4 linked regions of the Arabidopsis thaliana genome follow. The protein of the gene in region 2 interacts with the protein of the main gene of each other region in a pairwise test. Each region holds a gene or a part of one and is shown on either strand. Other genes may lie near its edges.

Region 1 (6,939 bases), on a different chromosome or scaffold from region 2:
ATTAAATGATTAATCCAAATCAAGACTACCCCATGTATCTCTCATTTTGCTGTTTGTTTTCTCTTATGATCTTGTTGGGATTGTGAATTCTGAACATGTGTGGTTCAAGAGTCAACTTCATACGTAGAGTTGTCACAATCACTTTTGATTAATGTAAACTCCTAAACTTTTGATTTATTCAGATATGCAATTAATTTATGTGTGTATCTATTTTTGTATACAATGTTCATACTCTCTCTTAAGCTACAATAATTGAGTTTTGGTTCAATTTATATTAACTCTAATCATGACATGTAACTGGATTTAAAATATCTCCCTTTCGTCTATTTACACATTTCATGATGTCCATCACTCTCAAGTCATATTCATTTTTGTATTGATGTCTAGAAGCGTCGTCAGATTAGGTCTGAGAGTGGACAAGTCATTTTACAAAAACATTTTTACAAATCTATCATGATTAAGACTTGAGATTGGAACATTATAGGACATTAGGTTGGAACAGAAAAAGTGAGTATGGTTTTATATAAGATTAAAGACTAGAAAGTAAAAAGGGCTAGAACTTTTGGTCTTTTTACATTAAATAAGCAGAGAAAAAGTGAGTTTAGAACTTCATTGACTTTGAGAACCGAGAAGCGAATATAGAGTACTTTCGTTGTACATTTATAATTAGTAGGTTGAAGATGATATGGAATTTTCGTTGTGTATACATTGGAATCTGAAAATCTTTTAAATATATATATAGTTTTGAGTTATAAATGAAAAGTGGGAGATCCAACTTAACTTAGGTGTTGAGGACTTTGTGTTTTGTCAAACATAGGATCCGACCGTTGTTTGTTGTGCATGTGCCTAGAGACATGACCCTCGCATCACCCTAACTAATTGTCTTCCAGATTTTTATTACTTTTCATACCTCTCAACAACTTATTGATCCCAAGAAACAAATAATGAAATATTTAAAGAAAAATCACTTTATATATTACATAATGAATCAAAGTAAGCAATGCAACCATGTTTGAGGCCTATTGGTTTATGCGTGTCATCACTAATTTGTAGACAAATTGAAGTGACTTTGACAAACATATCATAATTTGCCGTCTAGACTTTGGTTCTTATACCCTATTTGATCAATGAAGCTTTTCAAGGGAAGAAGAACCTATTTTATTTGCAAATAGATTGTGAATTGCATTTTGAAACTTACATAATCCAAAAAAGTGGAACTAAAATAAACAAATAAAAGAAAAAAAAAACTTAAAAGATTCAATCGTTGAGTTTTGACTTCCAAGCTCCAACAAAACACTCTGCCAAGTTATACTACAACGCTCTCACTTCCTTGTTCCGTCAGAATTGTCAATCTTCGAGCTGTCTTCAAGAACTCACTGCCAAAGATGAGTCAAAACACCAACAACTATTAGATGTTTTCTTTTACTTCATCATCAAAATAGTACGAAAAATATGACAATCTTGTCTATAATAAAAAAATGTACCTGAAAGGTTCGTTTCCTGCGTATTTGATGGCTCCTGATGCATCCCTATAGAGAACAGAGCTTAACATCTCAGACTTTTTGATTCCAAACATGTCAGAGAGTTTCCGACTCAATTCTTCGTATGAACCAAGAACCGATAGGTCTAAGGTTCGACCTACATCGTCTGACTCCATAAACACTTTACAATGCCCTGTTTCCAAACCTGATGCATCATGAACTTTCTTAGAGCAAGGTGATCCTTCATCTGACGAAGAAAACTCCCTTCCCGCAACGCCGTTTTGGTTCGACCCGCCTGATGAAATCTGCGTTTTCTCTATGTTTGCGGTATCCGTTGAGCCTTTTTCTGATAGCTGTTCCTCGGGTAGTATAAGCTTGCCGAACAATACAATATGGGACTTTTTAGATTTGGTATCATTGCATGGTGTTGTTCCCATTGTCAAAAAGCAAAATCCTTTTTCGTTTTTGGTATCGATGTTTCGGAGACCGAGAGAAGGAGAAAGTTGGAGAGAGGATGGAGGAGGAGGAGGAGGTGGTCTATTCAAGTAGTAATGGTGAAGATCCGAAGATGATAACCCGTAGTACTGATGAGCATTATGCCTGGCTCCCTGTAAACCCACGGGAACATTGTCCAGAACAGAGCTTAACGGGCTTGATCTAATAAGGGGATTGCTTGGGAATGAAGGTACTGGAATCGAATTGATCAGATTGTTGTAATCTGGATGCTGAGGTAGCCGCATCTTTTTCCTCGGTGGCGAAAACGAAGTAAGCGGGATCGGATGTACGTTTGATACCAATTCCACCAACCACGGGTTAACTCGCTTCACGTTTTGGAGTAAATCTGGCTCATCCCACGCCACCTGAAAACACAAAAATGCAACCTATGAGTCTATATTCTAACTTGAGCTAGAAGAAAATTTTGAGTGTTTGTTTACCTGTAGAAGCCGCCAAGGAGAGTTAGGCCAACGGATAGGATCAGAGACATTAACAGCTGAAACAGTCCCCATAAACCAACTTATCCGAGACGAATCCTCTGTCTCAAAAGCCATCTTAAACCTCATACCTGAGCACCACGGAATCCGCATGGCAGCTCGAGCATCTAATGCCTTGACACAAAACTCTGAAGTGCTAGCTCTCGGATAGTACACAACCTCAAACGGTCTTCCGCTAATAGCAAGAGTGGCTGCTTCTATAACAGATTCAGCCGTCACTTTCCCCTTCCTATCCGCAAGGGAACAATTACTTCTCCTCAAACTATTGCTTTCATCTTCCCTTAACAGAGAAGAGTAGCCGCAACTTCCACCGATCGGATTCCAACCCGCTGAATATTCGGGTCCATTACCTATCCCTCCTCTCTTAGCCCTCCTAATACCTACACAAAGATCTCCATTCTCCGCTCTCATGAAGACAATCGAATCTCCCGCCACAAGCTTCTTCTGGTTTACAAAATTACTCCATCCGGTTGTAAGAAGGTGACGCCGAGGCGTCCCTCTATAAATATGTCTGAACTTCCAAACATCACCATGAACATCCTTAGCAAGAATGGTCTGAACCGGCGGCTCGGCGTTATAATCCAACCTCGGGAAAATCGTCTCAGCGCAATAACGAGGAACAGAGAAACCCCCACCGTTATTAGCATCAGACTGAGTCAAAGTCTTAGCAAACGAAGGCGTTTTCTCACTATTACTCTCGAAACCGTTACTATCTTCACCATCACCATACTCGTGATCAACATACTCATCATCTTTCAAAGGAATCAATCTCAGTTTAGCGAAAACCTCGTCAGATTCAGCATCAGCCATATACTTAATGGCTAAAACACGACACAAAACCATGGGAGGAATAGGGAGATTACCGAAATCGACACAATCGTAAGCGTTTTCGGCGTGACCTTGAGGAAAGTAAAAGACTTTAGAGTTCATAGGAGGCATACGAACCATACCACCAGCACATGCATGCCATAGCTGAGGATCTAAACCTTTCTCTGTTCCACCTTTCATTGGATTCATCACATTTATCATATTTTTTGTGACCGTTTTTGCTGCAACAACAAATACAAATGTATCAGCTTTTGTTTGAGAACAGAGTAACCAAACAAAAGCACAATACAAATGCTTTTTATTTAGCAACTCAAGTCCTTTGTATCAGTCAACTTTACCTAACAAACGAAATTTTCCCGGAAAATAAAAATAAATAAAAAGATTCAAGAAAAACCGACAAAAAGGGTCATTTCAGATAGTAAGAAGATTTCAAATACCAAATCTCCGGAGAAAACAAAAAATACAAATTATAAAACTTCAAGAACGTTTTGAGGATATTTAGTTTATTAATCCATTATGAAATTAAAAAGACCACAAATTAAGAAAATTTAGTTAGATTAGATTTTCATAAGAGCAAGCTCACGATTGTGTTGTGTGAAGCAGACAAAGCAAAAAAAACATAGATCGGTCTGAAGTAAGAACAAGAACCACACAAAAGAACAGTAAACTAACAAAGTTAGATAGAACTAGTTAGACATGATGATCAAATCGAATCAAGCTAAACCAAATCAAATTCATATCGAATCGATTGAGAAAACCAAAGATGAAACAGAGAAAGATTAGGAGAGAAAATTTATGTAAAATTAGTTCAAACCTGAAACAGTGGCAGATCTGAACAAAATAGCGAAGATTCTGTGAAAAACCAATCTAGGTATAGAGAGAATCTGAAGATTCTGCAGCTAATTTCTGCTTCAGAATCGGATAAGGAAGGTTACACTTTTTGCACAAAGAAAATGGAAAAAGGGGTTCGTATATATGAAGGAAAGAGCTTTGGCTCTTCTGCAGAAAAACAAAACTAAAAATAAAATAAAAATAATATTATCTCTTTTTTCTCAACTTTCATTAACTCTTTCACATGTCTTTTTTATTATTATTTCTTCTCTAGTTAGTGAATTTTTTAGAAAATATTAATCCGGATTATTTTAAGTGTAATAAATTTTAAGCCTAAAAGAAGGTAACAATTTGGTAAGTCAAACCCTTGATTCCGGGCATAAAAATCGACAATATGGAGTGTGAAAAAAGAAGAGAATTAAAAAAAGAAATATCGACATACGAGTTAAAGAGTTGAATCGCGCACGTGACGGATCCGCACGTGTCGTCGGTGCTTCCGACATATCTCCTTGAAATCTGATTAGAAGCATCTAATTATTTAACAATTCAAGGCAAGCTAATTAACTCAGCCATTAATTGTTCTTTGAATAAACTAATTTTTACAGTTTGATTTGATAATCCCAATAGTTCATTGAATTATTTTTAACTTATTGTTTACGAAACACGATATTTTGTTGATAACCATGTAAGCAATTTGCTGTTGCTAACCATCTTTCTTTGTGTTTAAACGATGTAAAAATAAAATTCTACCTCGGGTTTTTATATTCCCGTTTGATTGGCCCAGACTAGTATTCTAAAATACATTATACAGCTGTATATATATATATATATTGTGTTGTAAATAACTATAGTTCTATTTTATGTTCTATTTGTATAGTATAATTATATGAAATACACAACTGCATATAGACGTATAAAGGCTGTACATGCAGCATATATATGAGGTACACATATTTTTAAAAACAAAAAACATAGTTTCGTGTGTTTTTCTAAATGGTAAGTGAAAGGAAGATTAAAATTATTGGTTTCAAAAAGGAATGAAGGGAGATAAACATCTAACTATTTATGTTAAAATTTACCAAAGTTGAAAAAAAAACTTAGAATTTTTTGCTTTTGATCCCATAGTTTTTTCGTAGGTTGCGAACCAATTCATAGGAAATCAGGAGACTTAGATAATCCTTTTAAAATATAATTTAAGGATCCTAAGAAAACATTTTAGAAAATTTCTCTGATATGACTATACCCTATATATCCAAATAAGATAGAGATACGACATACATATGTCAATCCTACATGATCGTAGCAAGGCTCAATAAATTTCCGCATGTGTCATTGTATTTTTTTGTCGTAAGAGTTAGCTTTCCAATTAATAATACCAAGAGTTTGATCTAGGCCATACGTAAACAAAAATCCAATATCCAATTATATACACAAGTATAAGAACCAAAATTTTCAAGATTGGAATTATGAAACTGAAATTATAATCTGAAATTATTTTAGATAACACTAAAATCTTTTAATATATGGGAATGTGATAATAAGAAAATAATAATTAACAATGATAATGAAAACATATTTAACCGGAGGACATATCACGTGTGAGTAACCATGGTTAAGTTTGAAGTGTGTCTGTGTATGTGTGTTGTTTGGTCAATACCACATACTTTCCTTGTCAATAGTTATTACGTGTGTCTCCATTTATGTTAATCCAGTAATAATTTACATGTCACAAGGGCAAATTCGGTATTTGAATCTTAAACCACCGGATCTGATCTAATTGTCCTCTTATTATTCCTTCAGATTTTGGTTACCACATTTGCATGTAATACTCCTTAGTGGTTACACCTTCTATGTTTATCGATGTTCCTCATGACCACAAGTGTCGTTAATAATGTAATTTAGATTTGGGCTAACTTTTGGAAAAACTTGGGCATGTGAACTCAATCTACTAATAATCATGTTATATTTTTAGGGGTTGGCAAACCACAATTTGGGATTTTGCGAGAACTGGACGAAACAAATTTCTTAAAAAGAAAAAATTATTTATAGACAGCAACGAGACATGACGGAAATGGAAATGCTCGCCAATATTTCTTGCTTGTTTTATTTTTCAATTTATACATTTTAGTTTGTTTGTTCCATTCAATTATTTGGGTTTATGGTTTTTATTTTATTCACATATAATGGATTTGATAAAAAATTTGAAAAATAGTTTGGACAAAAGAAAAAAAACAGAATGATAAAATAAAAGCTAAAAAGAGAAATGAAAGCTAAAAACAAGAAAGAGCGTAAATGAAAAGCGACCTATAAAGGAGAAGACATATAAAGACATGAAATTGGGATCAGACACAAACAGTCGTTATAGACATTGACTCTCTCTTGTCCTTTTCTTTCTCCCATTTTGTCTTCACAAAATAGTTTTTTTTTCCTCTTTTAAAATATAGATAAAGATATTTTAATCTGAAGTTGTATGTTTGTCCGAAAAAAAAAATCTGAAATATTAAGGCTTTTTAGTTTCAACTTGTACCCAACACAATTGGGCTGGGCCTGGTTACATTAACATGGCAAACTAAAATTTCCCAATCACATCTGTATCAATGTGAGAAGATTTACAACTCTTTTCTTTTCTTCTCTTCTCTACTTTATAAAAAACCATAAACTATGAAAACTGAAAAAGATTGTTCTAAGATTTTGTCACTACAGAGAGTCAAGAGAGACCTATAGTTTTGTAGAACACCTCTGCTTCAACTTCTTCAGCCAATAGATATTTAACTATTATAAGTCTCAGAAACCAGAAAGGTATATAC
Region 2 (4,939 bases):
CCTCTAGATCAACAAGTAATATCAGCTCACGATTATCTTGCGACTCTGATCACATCACAATAACAATGGGGAACCCACATACGCAACCGTTCTCCTTGGAGTACCATGCCATTGCACTTACGGCCCCCTCAAGCACAAATATGGCACCTCAAGCTGATTTCCACCATGCAAACTTGAGTATGTAATCAAAGGTGTAGAACGGAGTCAAGAACTCATCTTAAAGTCACATAAAACTATGGTCATGCACTCATGGATCACGACTACTACCTTCAGGCTCACAAATTAATGCCCCCTTTTCAATCATATATATGAGAAGAAACGTGTACAAAGTACACATTAACTGGTCACGAAAAAACTTTCGTGTAGGGAAAAGGATCACAAGGTCCACTCCACTCCGCACCTCAGCTAAATAAATCATTTTTCGAAAGTGAGATAGTCTTAACTCTTAAGTCTTAACCCATCCATCTAAGTTACTAGTTTCTGTCTTTTATAAGTCATTTTGTTTCTTTTTCTTGGATTTTAATTGAAGCCAAAATGTGTGAATTAAATCCGGGAGATGGAAAAAATGTTCGATAATTTGAATTATTATTTTTATATGTATTTTGTATTTGAATCATGAATTTTTTATATTTCGTTTGCATAGAAGAATCCAAAAACATATGATTTTTTGTCAAAACAAAAACTTAAAACCAAACATATAGTAGATGCGACGTTTTCATTATCATTTGGAATCTAGTTTTATTTAGAACTTTTTGGGAACGTTAACTACTTTTCCTTCTAAATAACTGTTTCAGCTTTTAATGCATAACCAATGATCAAATTTAACGTAAACAAAATTTCCAAAATTTAGTAACTTCATGCTTGACAAATTTCAGTCTTTGTCGATCCTTGCTTTATGTAATGCTATTTCTTGACTTAATATCCCACTTAGGGGTTTGGAATACATGTTTTATGTTTATAATTTTAAAAGATGCATTTGAATTTTCTGTATATACTACCTTTTCCAAATCTCCAATGGCTATGTCATCTGAAAAATGGTTACACTCCCTTACATAAACTTTTCTCTAAATATCGAGGTTTGATTGATTGCTTTCATGTGCAAAATTTCTTAAAACAATGTAGCAAGTTTTTCTTTTTTTATTAGAGTTTATTGGTTAGTCTAGGGAGTCAAAAGCAAGAATTATGAGGATAATTTAAAGGAGCCACAATGTTGTTTAAAGGAGCTAAACGAAAAATAAGATTTCAAAGATTTAAGGGCAAAAATGAAATGAAATGATAACTATAATTATAGAGAAACTGATAGGAATAACATTTTCACTTTCAAACAATAGTTCCTCAACTGTTAAGTCGGCAAATAATTTCTTAAATTTGCATTGACCACATAGAAATGGGTTCCAGAATAATCAACGCTGAATATTCCAGAAAGGGGATTAAGCTTCGGTGAAGCTTGGGGGCTTGTAGGCAATGAAACTGATGCATTGGACTTGACGGGTGTTGTCGAATCCGATGATCCTAATGAAGGCGCCAGGGTACTCCTTCTTGCATTCTTCAACTTCCTTCAACACTTGAGCGGAGTCGGTGCATCCGAACAATGGAAGCTTCCACATTGTCCAGTATCGTCCATCATAGTATCCGGGAGTGTTTCCGTGCTCACGGTACACAAATCCGTGCTATATATAAAGAAAACCATTCAATACAATTGATATATATATTGGTGATAGTCTATTTCGGTTATCCACTTAAGTTTCTAGCAATGAAGAAGAAGAATAAAGGATGCTTAGAGACAAAGGAAAAGTTCAGTGTATATTACCTCCAACTCGAATTCAACACAAGGAATCCACTTGTTGCGGAGAAGGTAGTCAACTTCCTTAGCCAATTCAACGTCACTAAGGTCAGGGAGGTAAGATAGAGTCTCAAACTTCTTCTTTCCGATTGGTGGCCACACCTATAAATTCGAATTCCCAATTATTCTAAAGTATTGTTCAGTTGCACTAATTGCACATGACAAAAGACAGTTTTCATTAATGACATTTACCTTCATGCAGCTAACTCTTCCTCCGTTGCTTGTGATGGAAGTAATGTCGTTGTTGGCCTTGCGGGTGACCGGGAAAGAAGCGGATGACTTCAAGCCGGTGAATGGAGCGACCATGGTGGCTTGAGCCGGGGAGGTAACCACAGCGGTGGAGGAGAACATAGAGGAAGCCATTACTTCTTCTTGTTGTTTCTCTTCTTCTTTTGGTTTTTCTCTTACTTACTTGTTTGTCTGTTGGTTTTGTCATCTTTATATAGTGGGAACCGCTAGAGGCAACTAGCCCTAATGATCAAAGGGGCCATAATTCATGATAACGTCGTTAATTGCCACAGGATTAAGGAAAGGTGTTGACACCCTTATCGATTTGGACCACTAGGATAAGATCACGTGGCAGAAAACTCCATAATCTTATCTTTCTCATGTAAGGGTAGGAGTGAATGTGTATGGCTACTGGTCTCCACTTGATCGGTTGCTTTTGGCTCCTTTCAATTGGGAGGCGTCAAATTGTAGATATCGGTTAAATACTTTTTACATATAGATTAAAAAAATGATTAAATTTCTATTACCTTATATTAACACATTCATATTTTTATTTTTCCACTTGATAATCTTAAATAATAAGAATATAAGTATAATCTTTGAATTCATCCCACATTTTAAAAGTATAATTAAATCAGACAGAGTTCATTCAAAATGGTTTTTAATTGGGAAATGTAAACTAGTATTTTGTGTTATTATTTTCTATGTAGTATGTACGATCACTAGAACTTTTAGTCACATAATGGATATTAAATTAGAAAACAATCCAAATGCTTGTGAATTTTCAGGTTTTACGGCTAATTAATATATTTCTGATGAACAAGAGGAACCCACGGCACCGTTCCTTTTGGAGCACAACGCAATTGCACTTACGGCCCACTTAAGCACGAATGTGGCACCTCAAGATAATTCCCACCATGACAACTTAAGCACAAAAGCCATGACGGATCATGGGGAAATTTTATAACACACTTCAATGGATGGTGTGGATCCGAGGGAAGAATCCACACTCTAAGGCCACATGAAGAAGCTCATATGGTCATGGGTCCACGAATACCACGTAAAAGCTCATATATGCCCCGGTCCAACCATATGAGAAGAAGTAGCCAAACCCATTCAAGAAACATTGATTACTTTTCATTGTAAATAAGTGTTTTAGCTTTGAATGTATCGTAAACTATCTAATTTAATGTAAAACAGTTTCCAAATTATAAATATTCATGCTTTGTTATCTCCATTATAAATTTCATTAATTCTTGCGTGTCCTTGCTTGCTATGATGTCATCTCTAAATTTTTGGACTTGCGGCTCTAGAATTCATGTTTATGGATTTAAAATATACAGTTGGATTTTTCTATGTCATTTTAAAAAAGAAAATTTTTAGATTAGATTTTAAAAAGAGAAATAAACGTGTTTACAACTTAATGCATACTTTTTTGAAAAACAAATCTAAAACAGAGGATTTGGTCTTAAGCTTGTCTTGTACCAAACCAAACTTGAAGACCTCCTTCATACTTCAAAGCTCCCCCCACTCCGTATTGTGCTCAGCCGGTTCCAAACATTTTTGTCAATTAACTTGACAAGTTTCTCCATTGGTGATGGTTGTTCACCATGCTTTCAAGCATTTCTTTCTCCCCAAATCGAATGAACCGTGTTTTGGAAGACATACCGTAGAATGAAGATTTTTGTTTTGTCATAGTTTTTGTCACAAATGGTTTTAAAGACTTCCCTCCAATATGTCGAGTACTTATCAAGTAGTATTCCCCTTATCAGCTTCTCCCATACCTTCTGCGAGTAAGAGCACCCAAAAAAAAGATGGTGTCTTGTTTCCATAGGTTCGTGACAGAACATGCAGTTTGTGTTCACTTGTTGATTCCATTTAAACATTCTGTCTCCCGTGGCAACTCTGTTTTTTGAAGCTAGCCAACTGAGAAAGGAGTAGTTAGGGTAAAGTAAAAGAAACAGATCCCTTTGTATCCGTCCATCGTAGGCTTAGTGTTGCGAATTTTTGAGCATGTATCTCTTGTGACAAACTTTTGACGGTAGTGATCATTTTTTCCTTTCCAAAGGGCTATGTAACTTTCATCTTCTCTGAGACGACATCTCTATTTTCTACGTATTTTTACTACCTTTACTGGCTGTTTTTCATCTTTAAATTAAAATGTTCTAAATCAACCCTCAAAATTTGATTGATGGACGCATCTTTGCTATGCTTTCAAGTGCGAAATGTACCTAAAAAGGGTACTCTTTCATTAGAGAACCAAAGGCAAGAATTAGGAGAGAAATTTAAAGGAACTAAAATGTTAGTTAAAAGAGATAAAACGAATAAAAAGAGTTAAAAGTGATAAGAGCAGAAATGAAGTGATATGAATAGAGATTTTTATAGAGGAAACGATAGAAAAACAAACCTTCAGTTTTTTCACTTTGGCAAAATAATTACTTAAATTTACATTGACCATACAAAATTGGGTTCCGGATAGTCAACATTGAATATTCCAGAAAAGGATTTAAGCATCAGTGAAGCTTGGGGGCTTGTAGGCAATGAAACTGATGCATTGGACTTGACGGGTGTTGTCGAATCCGATGATCCTAATGAAGGCGCCCGGGTACTCCTTCTTGCATTCTTCAACTTCCTTCAACACTTGAGCGGAGTCGGTGCATCCGAACAATGGAAGCTTCCACATTGTCCAGTACCGTCCATCGTAGTATCCGGGAGTGTTTCCGTGCTCACGGTACACAAATCCGTGCTATAAACACATAAGAAAACCATTCAATACAATTGATATTGGAGGATATGCACAAGGTGATATAGTCTATTTCGGTTCTAAAAAATCCGGTTATAGGCTAATATTTCTAGCAATGAAAACGA
Region 3 (5,365 bases), on a different chromosome or scaffold from region 2:
AGGAGATAAATATCATTAGAACATGAAGTAATTTACTTATGAATCTCTATCTATTGTTCGAAATAATCGATATTCTATATTGATTGTGAGGCAATGTGAATGTATGCATAACATTTATAATTATAAGAGATAGATTGTATGCAAAATTAGATTTTAATTTGGATTCAATCTTAGCTTTACTGAAAAAACTAAGATTATACACTTGTAGTTTGATTGTTAATTTAAGACTTTCACCTGTAGTATACCATCTTGTATTAATATCGATCTAAACCCGTCAATTTTACGATTTTCCAGCTTGTTAAAAATTGAATCACATCATACACATAAAAAATCTAATATCTTATTAATTATTGTAGTATATAAGATTATAATTTTTTAATATAATATGTATAAAATTGAATATAAATATTTCAAATTATGACCTGTTAACTCAGTAGAAAGTTTTCTTAAATCTATTTTCACCCGTTATAATATTTTTCATGTATTGAACAGTTTATATTCGTTTTTAAAAATTCAAATTATGGCATATGCGAAAAAACTCTAATTATTTTTTTATAATGATGATATTATTTTTTCGCAAAAATAGAATCATATAAAGATGAGAAGTGAACTATAATAATTAATAAAAAATTAATATGATAATTTAGATATCAAATCTAATTTGTTAATTTTAATTGTTTATTTTTTTGGAAATTAATAATGTATTTCGTTTTTCTAATTAAATTAAATTAATTAAAATTTAGATATCAAATCTTATATGTTGATTTTGATTGGTTATTGTTTTTGGAAATTAAAAATGTATTTCGTTTTTTAATTAAATTTAATTAATTAAATTAGTATTTGACTTTTTAATCCTTAAACAGATAAATTAATTTACTCTTTAAAATTTTATTTCTAATGGTATACCTATGTAATTATTTACAAAAAGTAAGGTTACATTTAAAATGTACTTCCCAAATAATATAGTAAGATTTCTAACGTAAATGAATTCAATTTTAGCAATTTCTTCAAAACGTTTTCTGAAAAAAAAAGCGAAGAATATCCAAAAGAAAGAAAGTAAACGAAGATGTCAAAACGAAAAAAATGCCACTACATGTGGCTATGTCCTATGTACATCATCAACTATATATAATTCAAATCTCATTTTCAATCTTTATTTTTGCCTATAGAAAACGTCCTTTTTCTGTACTGTTGTCTTGTTTGTTGCTTAGATCTGGATGGACCCATGGGCCTATAACGGGCCTATCAATTAAATACTCATCATCATCAAAATAAAACTTCGACACCGGAAGTCTTCACGGCGAGGCAAATCGGACAGACTCGCACTGCTCCGACGTCGCATCCATTACAAAGAATCAAATGTTGACACGGCAATGCCATCACCGTCGCAGATTTCCGCCGGCAAATCCTACAACTTGGTCCGATCAATTCGATCCGCTCCGGATCCACGTAAACCGATTCAGCGTCCTCTGCTTCTTCCGCGTCTCCGCCGTCTTCTCCGAACGTACTCTGTTTCGCCGCCGTATCTAGGCGGTTAGCTATGGCTTGTTGGAGATGAGCATGTAACGAGGACACCTCAGCTTCCCGCGTCGCCGCTCTTAACTGCCAGTTTCGCGCCTCTTCCACGATGTGAGCTACACGCGCTTCTAGCTCAGCGTGACGGCGCGTGGCTTTCTCCAACTCCGCTTCTTTTTTTCTCAATTTCCGTCCGACTATCTCCTCCGCAGCGCACAATAACTCTACGTAGCGTCTCTCTCTGTTATCCGCTAACGTACGCCGCAACTCTTCACCCTGCAAAATCAAATTATCAACACAAAGAAAAAACAAACCAAACCACATTTTAGGTCGAGTTTAATAAGACACCTGAGTCTGAATGAATCTGTCTAGTTCATCTCTTTGCCGTTTAATCTTTCCGGTAACATCTCCGGGAAGAGAAGAAAAAAACTGTTGTTGATTCTGTGACTGATCATGAAATAATCGAAGACCAGTGGAAACCACGTTAGGCGTTTTCTGCAACAACTCGGTTATATCAATAACTTGCGACGGTTTTGGAGGTGGAGGGTTCATCAGAGCCGATGAATAAACTTCTCTTGATCGTTTTCTTGAATCAACCCCTGTTTCAAAAACGGTGATGATTGAATGGAATTGAAGGAAAAAATTTGGAAACGATATGGGAATAATGAGAAGAGAGACCAGCTTTGGTGAAATTAGTGAAAGGAGTGTCTTGAGGCTGCAACGAACAATCACTAGCTTCTTGTCCGTTACTGTTCAATAAATTTTCATAAGAAATTGAAAACATCACATACATAATAAATACACAGGGCGTATACTATTACTATATGATTATATGAAGATTTTTACCTGTTGTTGAAGAAGAAACGTGAAGGATGCTGAGCTTGAATCGCCATTGAGCTATCAGAGAAGAGACCTATGCGTTCATTATCAGATAATAAGGGCATGCATGTGTGTTTGTGTATATGGGAAATGATGATGCTGATGATGATGAAAATGTATTGATTTTTTCAAGTATGAATTAAGAACTGAAAAAGAAAAGGAGAAAGAATGGGAGAAATAAATGGGGAAGATGAGGTTTTAGAGGGGAGGGGGACGAAAGGGTACAAAGACTTGTGGGTCTTTTTAAAGCTTTCAACATTATATGCATGATTCACACTAATGTTACCATTTTTTTTTTGCATCTACTTCTATTTTTTTCCTTAGTACTAGTACTCTTTCAATCATTCTTCAGTTGCAATATAGACTATATAGTATAATTTAGAGACTGAATCAAAATTAAAAGATGTGAACGATGTAACACTCTTCCCAAAGACCCTTCCAACCTAACTAAACCAAACCGTCTTTCAACCAAACTAATCCATTTTAGATCAGTCGATACATCACATATTTGCATGTTCCAGATGAATAATCTGTAGATGTATTCGTTAATCTTGTAGTACCTGAGGGTTTTAGCTACCTAACAATTTTCTTTTTCAATTTTTTTTTTTTGTTTTTTTTTTTCGTTTTAATTATAACTTAGATAGATCTTGGGCCAAAACCTAGATTATTATTACATGATGCATATAGTGAACCGAGTATTTCTTTTTTTTTTTCATTTAAGATGTTTACAATAACTAAATAAAAAGCTAACAATAGCGGTCCATAGTTTCATAGCAAAAAAAAAAAACAAAGAGAGAACAATAGCGGTCCATAGTTGGTTGGGATTCATATCTAGGTTTGATGTATAGGATAAATCCTTCACCACTCTTCCAATATAACCAATGTCCCAATTTTTGATATTATAAAAAGAAAACGGAGGAGTCGTCAATTATTGAAAGGTCTAGATCCATGTCGATGGCTAGATGCATATAAAGCATTAATGGATCGGACGTCATATATTCTTCAAATAAAAGGTATCAAATTAGATTATCCCTTGGTGCACTTCACGTTTCCTCATTGATATTATGCTTCACAGTTGCATATTATATATATGCTGGTGAGTCTTTTTCAAAACGATAAGCGACATACATATTCTAGCAAACAAACAATGTTCTACTTACCACATGATACATATAGGTACATAATGTTTCGTCATCAGTACACATTGCCATAGCGTATACATGAGATTACAAAAATTGAACTATATATAAAAAGAAAATCAAGCTTATCAAAATGTTTGGAGGAGTATGAAACATAATAATATATATAGGCATGATTTAATACTTTATAAACAGTAACACGTTAGCGAAAATTGATATCTAACAACAAATAATTTGGTTCTAGCATATGTTGGTCAGAAAGAATGGTAGGAATTTATATACTAATAAATGTCAACAAGATGACATAAAAATCTAGAAATGTGGTGGCAAGGTAAGCAACAAATTGATATAAGATGGATGGCATGTCCATTGTCAAGCAGTTGCATGATTTTAGTGGTCAGAACTCAGAAGTCAACATTTTTCTTAATTTTGTTTTTGTTTATATTTCAAATCAAGAGCAACATTAGATTAAGTAAAAGTTTGCTTGTATGTTTAGCCTATCAATTTAAATTTTCATATCTCTAACCATCAATAATGTTTTCTGTAGATGCTTTAGTTGATTAATCACCATTCCAAAATTCTTTCAAAAACAGGAGTAGTAATACAAAACAAATCAATTGAGTGATTAATCACCTTCACATTTCCCCAATTAGCATGCATTCCATGTTTGTGGTTTAATTAACCTAGAAGCCAATCGATTTTATAATGAATTAGTGTTAGAAAACGTTTCTAATGAAAAATGAAAGTAAAAACAAACTAAATATAGACCAATCACTGAAATAAAAAGAACATAACAAAAGCCAAACTCCAACCACACGTACATGCTTCTATATTTCACCGATAACAATTCAATAAAGAAGTCTACCTCATAGACATCTCTTTACATTTCAATTCCGTTTCCATATTTTACAAACAATATTTCTTTCACAAATCGATACGAGTCTCGTGAAATACACAATGTCTTCGGTTATAAATGTTCTCTTCGTCGTCCTAGTCTTTGTCCCGTCTATATACTCGGCACCACCACCAAATTTAACAAAAGATTATTACCAAAAAACATGTCCCGATTTCAATAAAATCGTACGTGAAACCGTTACACCAAAGCAAGGCCAGCAGCCAACGACAGCTGCTGGAACACTCCGTCTCTTTTTCCATGATTGTTTCATGGAAGGATGTGATGCTTCCGTCCTTATCGCTACAAATTCTTTCAACAAAGCCGAACGTGACGATGACCTCAACGAGTCGCTTCCGGGAGATGCATTCGACATTGTGACTCGCATCAAAACCGCTCTTGAATTGTCTTGTCCCGGGGTGGTGTCCTGCGCAGACATCCTGGCTCAGGCCACACGTGACCTTGTCACAATGGTTGGTGGGCCTTTCTATGAAGTCAAACTGGGCCGTAAAGATGGTTTTGAGTCAAAAGCCCATAAAGTCAAAGGAAATTTACCTTTAGCGAACCAATCCGTCCCCGACATGTTATCGATATTCAAGAAGAATGGTTTCACTCTAAAGGAGCTGGTTGCGTTAAGTGGCGGGCACACAATCGGATTCTCACACTGCAAAGAATTCAGCAACCGGATATTCCCGAAGGTTGATCCAGAACTCAACGCGAAATTCGCAGGAGTTCTTAAAGATCTATGCAAGAATTTCGAAACCAATAAGACGATGGCAGCATTTCTCGATCCGGTGACACCGGGAAAATTCGATAATATGTATTTCAAGAACTTGAAACGAGGTCTTGGACTGTTAGCTTCCGACCATATATTGTTTAAAGATCCTAGCACGAGACCGTTTGTAGAATTATATGCGAATAATCAGACGGCTTTCTTCGA
Region 4 (6,850 bases), on a different chromosome or scaffold from region 2:
TTAGATTAGGGATGATGAGTAAGCTAAGGTACCTTTTGTCGCCTAACGTTAAGCCCACCTTGTCAGAAACAGACTCTAAAGCTTCCTTCCATTTCTTGATTTGTTCTCCACTCGAAGTCTTAGCCAACCTCCAGAAGTTGCGACCAAACTCAGCCTTTTGATATCTAACAGACTCTGCCTTCACTTTAAAGAAGATAGGAACCACTCGTAGCTTGCATTTATCGGCTCTTTTCTTGATCCTTGCAAGCTCGTCCAGGCACCAGCTTGACTCTGCGTATCTTTTGGAAAATATGGTGAGAGCCATCCTCGATTGCTTGATCCTTGCAAAGAGATGTTTGAGGTCTTTCCCTTTTTGTTCGTCTTTGTCTATGAAGAAGTTGATTCCATGTCTTTTAAAAGCGTCAACGAGGTGGCTCACAAAGCTGCAGCGTAGCTCCTCTCCCCGGAAATTGATGAACACTTGGATCTTCCTATTACTACTACTCCTTTTCATGTTGTTTAATTTCCTTTAGTTGTGAGCGTGAGCAATGAAGAGAAGTTGGTTAGACTTTGTTCCACTCTTATACAATTTTGTTTGGACAGAAGACAAGTTTTGTAATGTAATATGGAACAATGGTTACTAAGATGTTTAGCAAGAGCTTAATTTATAGTATATGATATTGGGATTTGGGAGGGTTTAGGTACATTGTTAATGTTAGGTTTATCGATATTACTGGAGGGAAGGCGTCGTTAGGAACTTTGTCATTAACTTTCTTGAGTTAACATGCGTAAATGCAGTGGCGGACCCAGAATTTGATTATTCCAAAAATTGGACAGAGGAGGAAGAAAAGTCACAATCCCAAACAGTTAATACAAGATCGTAGAAAAGCGTTTTTGGCGCACGTGCGCGGAGAGAGAAAGCAGAAGCAGACCTCACTTTTCTTTTTTTCTTGGTTTTTTCTTGTCTCTGGATCCTCATTGTTGTTCTCACCACCACCTACTAGCTACTACCCACATTTTTCCCCAATGTCGAACTTCTATCCGTTTTCTTCTTTGGTTTTAGGTCTTTCTTTTTGGTAGTTGTACTACAACATGTATACTTTTAATTTGCAGCAAACATGAAACTTCTCCTTTGTCAGCACTCAGCCTTACGGAACAACATGTACCCCTAAACAAAACTCTACATGACCTAGGGGATTTGAAACATCCCAAGAAATGGATTTTTTTTTTTTTTTTTTTTTTTGGGCTGTGATTGTTAATGAAAACCTTTTTATGTATACATTTGATAAAGTAAATACTACATATATTCTAGTAGAATAATACCATTTACCTAATATACTGAAATTTCTTGGGATGTTTCAAATCCCCTAGGTCATGTAGAATTTTGTTTAGGGTTACATGTTGTTCCGTAAGGCTGAGTGCTGACAAAGGAGAAGTTTCATGTTGGCTGCAAATTAAAAGTATACATGTGTAGAACAGCTAACAAACAGAAAGCATAGAAAGAAGGGAACCCTAGGATAAAGAATTAAAAAGGGGAACAAAGATTTATGCTGTTTCTTCTTTATTTCTCATTGGCAAAACGGCAGAATCTTCATTAAGTTGCGTTTTATTATTTTTTCCATTTCTTATAGTAGCCAACTTCCAACTACACCATTTAACCCGGCCGTTTTTTTTTGTTGCTAAGTAATAGGTAAATATCCTATTAATGAAAATTATGATTTACATGAACAATAGCTAAGATTTAGGATACAAACAAGGAAGACGATCAAGGATCTTGAAGATAGAAGTAGGCGCAAATGTGTTGTGAATTATGCAGCATCTTATTTCTTTGCTTCCAAGTTGTATATAAATCACGGCTTGAGTAACTAGCTTCCTTAGTGTATATGTGACTGCATCTATCATATACAGTATGTGTGTAAACTGCGTTTGGTGTAAAATGTAATTATAATTTATAGAAAATAAATTAAAGTAGTGGAACATGGAAATCACCGTTCAGATATTCTAACTGATTCACTATAGACGGAATTCTTGTTTTCGTCCATTGTTTTTACTTTTTAGAATTTTTAAGTAAAATAAATCATCCATTACATCACTGAGGTGACATCATCGCTCAGGGGACATCACTAACTACGTTCCCACTAAAAATATAGGCAAATGCAATCAAGTGAATGATGATGACCTTTCAAGAGTTCGTAGAGATAAATAAAATAATAAATATTTGGCATGTTGAGGATCAAATGAATTAGATGCATAAGAAAGGTACTAGGTAGACCAGGCCCGGCCCAATGTGTTTTGTTGTCTAAAGCAAAACAAAAAAAATTAAGCCCATTAAAGAATAGTTATATTGCCTCGGAAGGGCTCGAATCCATCATCTTCATTTTTTTAGTTTACACGGATTGGAAGTAGGCTACAATGTCCCTGAGGGAAGGTAGGCCCATTATTAGTGACCTGAAGCCCAATAATAATGAAAACGCAAAGAACCTTTTAAGAAGAAGATGACAGAATCTCTAGAGAATAAAAAACTAAACACAAAAATAGAAAATATCGAAAATGAGATGAGAGAGAGAGGAGGAGTCTCTCATCGTGAGTAGGGCTTTTGACTCCCTCCCTACTTTGCCTACTTCTTCTTCTTCCTCTGTGGCCACTCTACACAGTCCACACCTACTTCAAGACACCTTTCTCATCCTTGAGATCGGCGTCAGATCCTCCGCCGCTTCTCCTCTTCACTATCTCCGGTCACAACTTGTTTTTCTCTGTTTTTCTTTATCTCTACTTTATGCACAATCTGACTTTCTAAGTGGATTTACAGTGTTAAAGATGATGGAATCTGGCGCTGGTTTCGTGGCCATGGAAGAGAGGATCTCTCCTGGAAGTTTCTTCCAGTATCCTCTTTCTGGATTCCGTGCTTCTCCTAATCGATCCCCTTGTCCTCCCTCTGATCGTGAAAGGTTTCTATTTTCTCTCTTCTTTCTCAACCTTTTTGCTATTTGTGAATCTGTGTTAGCTTGATTGTTGTGGACCCGTTTCTTCTTCTGGACTTGTTGCTTTAGCACAACTTCAAGTGTGTCTCTTTGTGATTGGTGGGTATTGTTGCCTTTGATTGGATCAGTGTTTAAAAATGATTCTGTCAAGTTTGTATTTTCATGAACTGCTTACACAGATCCAAATTCTCGATCATACTCTCTCACCTCAACATGTCGCCTTTTTCACAATTAGCTCACTTATTATTGGATTCTATACAATGTACTCTTAAGGATTTTAACAAGATAGCTATATTTTATCAATGTTTTAGAAATGAACGTACTGATGTATTTTTAGAAGCTTAGTTTACATGTGACTGAGTGCTGATTCCAATGTCACCCACTCGATTCACACGCAACATCCACTGAAACTTAAGTTTTTTTTGTTCTTAACCTTGTGCAGGTACTTGACTGAATTATTGCAAGAGAGACAAAAGTTGGGTCCCTTTTTGCAAGTTATGCCAAATTGCTGCAGACTGCTTAATCATGGTGAGCTATCTTATTAAGCTATGTGATTTTGAATTTAGTATTTCCTTAGAGTGTGTGCACACGAACTTAAGAAATTTCCCACGTGAACAAAGCCTTAGTGCGCATCACCCTGGCTTTTTTCCAGTTAAAGGTTTACAGAAATTGGGTAAGGATAGTTGAGTAACAAAAATGTATCTACATGCAACTTTTTATTCTCTTTGTTATGGCCTTCTTAATATATATATAGCCAATCAAAGTCTATGTTACTTTTAGCATTTAGAAACAGTTTTTAATTGCAACTTATTGCTAAATGATCATCCTTGATGAGTTATGTTATGTGAAAATGAATTAAGTCTATGTGTTTGCAAATGATAATGATCGTTAAGCAAATGATCACCAACTAATTTATACTAGGAAGCCTATTTGTCCGTAAATATGCATATGGTGATTAGAAGCTTGTTTCCAGACTTGTTTACCTAGCTTTTAGTTGTCCATCATGCCCTTAAGGGATGTGTGAACCTTAAAAGACAAAGATGTGTTTGAAGTTTTCATCATTCTAACCTATTAGAACCCGAGCCTTTTGTTTCATTATTGGCATTAAAGATAAGAGACTGAAGATGCCCCTGATGTATAACTCTTACAGTTTCTTTTATACGTTTGCTTAACTGCCAACATTGCTGACGTCTGTGCAGAAATCAGGAGGGTCTCTAGTTTTCCTGATCTTGATAGATATGAGCATGGCAGTCCATTTAGATCGCTTGGTCAGCCGACAAATGGAAAGCTTGATTTAGAGGGATGGTCGATGATGCAAGCCGAGGTAAGCCACTGCTGATAGTTGTAGTCAATTAACTGATTCATGTTGAATTGTAATGGTGATACTAATAATTTTTATAATCAAGAGTGGGCTTTACCGATATTGATTGCTTTTGCTTTCTTCAGGAAAACTGTCACCTCCAGAGAGCTTCTCCATTTCGCGGTCCTTCCCCAGTGGGCTGGATTGGGATGCCGGGACTCCCTAACCCACCCATTGTGAAAAAAGTGATTAGACTTGATGTCCCAGTGGATAAATATCCAAGCGTATGTCTTAAATCTTTACCCAAATAGGTTATTATAATTGGATTGTTCTAGAGTTTAAATCCATTGAGCGTTGCAGTATAATTTTGTTGGGAGGATTCTTGGGCCACGTGGAAACTCCCTAAAAAGAGTTGAGCTAGCAACCCACTGCAGGGTGTTTATCAGAGGACGAGGATCTGTGAAGGATACTGTCAAGGTATGGCTCCTTGTTTATTAATTCTCTGAAGGATTCCATTTTGTCTCTGTTTTATTCTTACAGTTCAAAACTTCACTTTATGTCATGTTTTTACCTGTTAATCAGTTTTATAACCATGTTTTGAATACGCACAATTTTCTTCCGGCCTTTAGGAGCAATTTGTTTTCCTTTTGTGTATAAGCTTACGTCTTTTAGCATATCAAGCTTATTGTTGAAGTAATGATACATTTTTTACTGCATCAGCAGCTACTACTCTTGTTTACATTTGAAGATATGTAAATTTTGGCAGCCTGTATAAGAAATAAACTGTTAAAGTTTTAGGTTCTTACATCATCAGAAGTAAATAGAGAAAGTTTTGAAATTCATTTTTTTCTGACTCTTATATATTCTCTGACAATCTACCATGCGGTGTGAAAGCTTATCCATTTAGTTCTTTACTTCCCTGCAGGAGGAAAAATTAAAAGGTAAGCCAGGGTACGAGCATCTCTGCGAGCCACTACATGTACTGATCGAGGCCGAGCTTCCAGAAGACATAATAAACTCTCGATTGGAGCATGCAGTGCATTTCCTGGAATCACTCCTGAAGCCGATGGTACATTCTTATCACAAAAGTCCAAACATGTCTATTTTGTTCACATGGTTTTGATTCTTCTCTCTCTACAGGACGAGTCAATGGATCACTACAAGAGGGAACAGCTGAAGGAGTTAGCGGCTTTGAATGGTACACTAAGGGAGGAGAGTCCGAGTCCGAGCTTGAGCCCTTGTTTGAGCCCCAGCATGTCCCCTTTCAACAGCAAGCGTGCTAAGACAGAGATATGATCAAGAGAAACCACTAGTGCATGGGTCTTGTGGGCAGGATCATGAGTTTGCTAAGTTCTAACGTTTGGACTCTTGAATTAATTTATTTTGTCATTAACTTTATTCTTTATTTTTGTTGGTTAGCTGAGATGACCATTAACCAGTGGGTAATAAACTAATAATGGTGTTTATGAAATTGTAATCTCCTTCTCAATCATTGTAACCTTTATTTAAGTTTTAAACCCCAAACGTTTATTTCATTTTAAGTTTTGAAATTTCTCCATTTGTCTATCTACCATTCATTATCAGTTTGTTTTGAGATTTAAGGTTCAGATTCAAATGTCGGAAACTATTAGACAACAAAGAGATTCACCATTGACCAGTGTGTAATAAACTAATAATGGTGCTTATGAAAATGTAATCTCCTTCTCAATTATTTATTGATTATGGCTCTGATTCTGATGCCATGTAAAAGGAGATTATTTCAATTGAATTACAGAACAAAGTCATTGGAAGCTTCAGATAGTTGTTTGAGTTATTTGATTGGTGGTTTCGGAGAGATTCGTTACCTTGTTTCAATTTCTTTAACATTTCTTCAGAATTTGAATAGATACATAGATTTAAGACTTTGTTTTCGGGGAGTTTATAGCAACAAGATCCTAGTTTGGGCTATCGTTGAGAAACCTATAAGGTGCCTTAAAGATTCTAGAGCATATTGTGGTCACTGAAAGTATGCAAGGAAAAACGACATCATCCGACTGTGTGAGATAAATTAGAAGCATAACAAGCGCATAAAAAAGCACGACAAAAATTGTTGGTACATGTTGAAACAAGCCCTTCTTACATAAAACAAGAATCTGAAACATAATCATAGGCAGCTTTAAGAGTTGCAAACTTGGACAAACAAACGGATGGTGAAAGAAGCTTTATGAAATAGATATTAAACTCGGGAAATAACAGACAGGATGACCGATGGAGTCAGCCTCGAAAGCAACATCATATGATTTGGTTTCGTCATCATGTACCACCATTGTTCGTTTTCGTACACGACAATAAAACAACAACTTTTTCTTCTTCTTCTTCTTCCCATCCAAAAGTGCTAGTGGCAAGACGGCGCATACTTGAGTAGGACCAAACCAACGAGAAGTTATATCCAGATTAATGGAACACATTTTGTGCCATGTCTTGTTACCTGAATTGAATGACCATATCACTTGGTTGGGCAGCTTCATCTCGGAAACGCACAAGCGGTTGTCGAGGTTGCACATGACTATATCGAATCCATCTACATTGGCAAAGGGAGCTTTAGAGACAA

What was found.
Region 1: the proteins of RBCS2B (region 2) and ARF16 interact in a two-hybrid assay, tested with the Arabidopsis thaliana proteins (one large-scale study listed by BioGRID).
Region 3: the proteins of RBCS2B (region 2) and AT4G17680 interact in a two-hybrid assay, tested with the Arabidopsis thaliana proteins (one large-scale study listed by BioGRID).
Region 4: the proteins of RBCS2B (region 2) and AT1G09660 interact in a two-hybrid assay, tested with the Arabidopsis thaliana proteins (one large-scale study listed by BioGRID).

Annotation. Positions count from the first base shown.
Region 1 is NC_003075.7:14,702,063-14,709,001, forward strand, and holds ARF16 (auxin response factor 16), read right to left. Parts: upstream 4,293-6,939; 5' UTR 4,116-4,292; intron 3,523-4,115; 5' UTR 3,503-3,522; coding exon 2,417-3,502; intron 2,342-2,416; coding exon 1,485-2,341; intron 1,377-1,484; coding exon 1,307-1,376; 3' UTR 1,003-1,306; downstream 1-1,002. UniProt on the Arabidopsis thaliana protein: Auxin response factors (ARFs) are transcriptional factors that bind specifically to the DNA sequence 5'-TGTCTC-3' found in the auxin-responsive promoter elements (AuxREs). Could act as transcriptional activator or repressor.
Region 2 is NC_003076.8:15,379,773-15,384,711, forward strand, and holds RBCS2B (Ribulose bisphosphate carboxylase (small chain) family protein), read right to left. Parts: upstream 2,300-4,939; 5' UTR 2,207-2,299; coding exon 2,036-2,206; intron 1,946-2,035; coding exon 1,811-1,945; intron 1,671-1,810; coding exon 1,431-1,670; 3' UTR 1,135-1,430; downstream 1-1,134. Other genes in the region: RBCS1B (Ribulose bisphosphate carboxylase (small chain) family protein), read right to left, coding at 4,578-4,817. UniProt on the Arabidopsis thaliana protein: RuBisCO catalyzes two reactions: the carboxylation of D-ribulose 1,5-bisphosphate, the primary event in carbon dioxide fixation, as well as the oxidative fragmentation of the pentose substrate.
Region 3 is NC_003075.7:9,841,637-9,847,001, forward strand, and holds AT4G17680 (SBP (S-ribonuclease binding protein) family protein), read right to left. Parts: upstream 2,699-5,365; 5' UTR 2,460-2,698; coding exon 2,362-2,459; intron 2,265-2,361; coding exon 2,194-2,264; exon of another isoform or gene 2,115-2,193; coding exon 1,864-2,114; exon of another isoform or gene 1,840-1,863; coding exon of another isoform or gene 1,792-1,839; coding exon 1,267-1,791; 3' UTR 974-1,266; downstream 1-973. Other genes in the region: AT4G17690 (Peroxidase superfamily protein), read left to right, coding at 4,491-5,365.
Region 4 is NC_003070.9:3,126,738-3,133,587, reverse strand, and holds AT1G09660 (RNA-binding KH domain-containing protein), read left to right. Parts: upstream 1-2,493; 5' UTR 2,494-2,714; exon of another isoform or gene 2,715-2,788; 5' UTR 2,789-2,796; coding exon 2,797-2,927; intron 2,928-3,402; coding exon 3,403-3,488; intron 3,489-4,159; coding exon 4,160-4,284; intron 4,285-4,406; coding exon 4,407-4,544; intron 4,545-4,620; coding exon 4,621-4,737; intron 4,738-5,185; coding exon 5,186-5,329; coding exon of another isoform or gene 5,330-5,383; exon of another isoform or gene 5,384-5,400; coding exon 5,401-5,556; 3' UTR 5,557-5,826; downstream 5,827-6,850. Other genes in the region: AT1G09665 (Toll-Interleukin-Resistance (TIR) domain family protein), read right to left, coding at 33-493; AT1G09650 (F-box and associated interaction domains-containing protein), read right to left, coding at 6,462-6,850.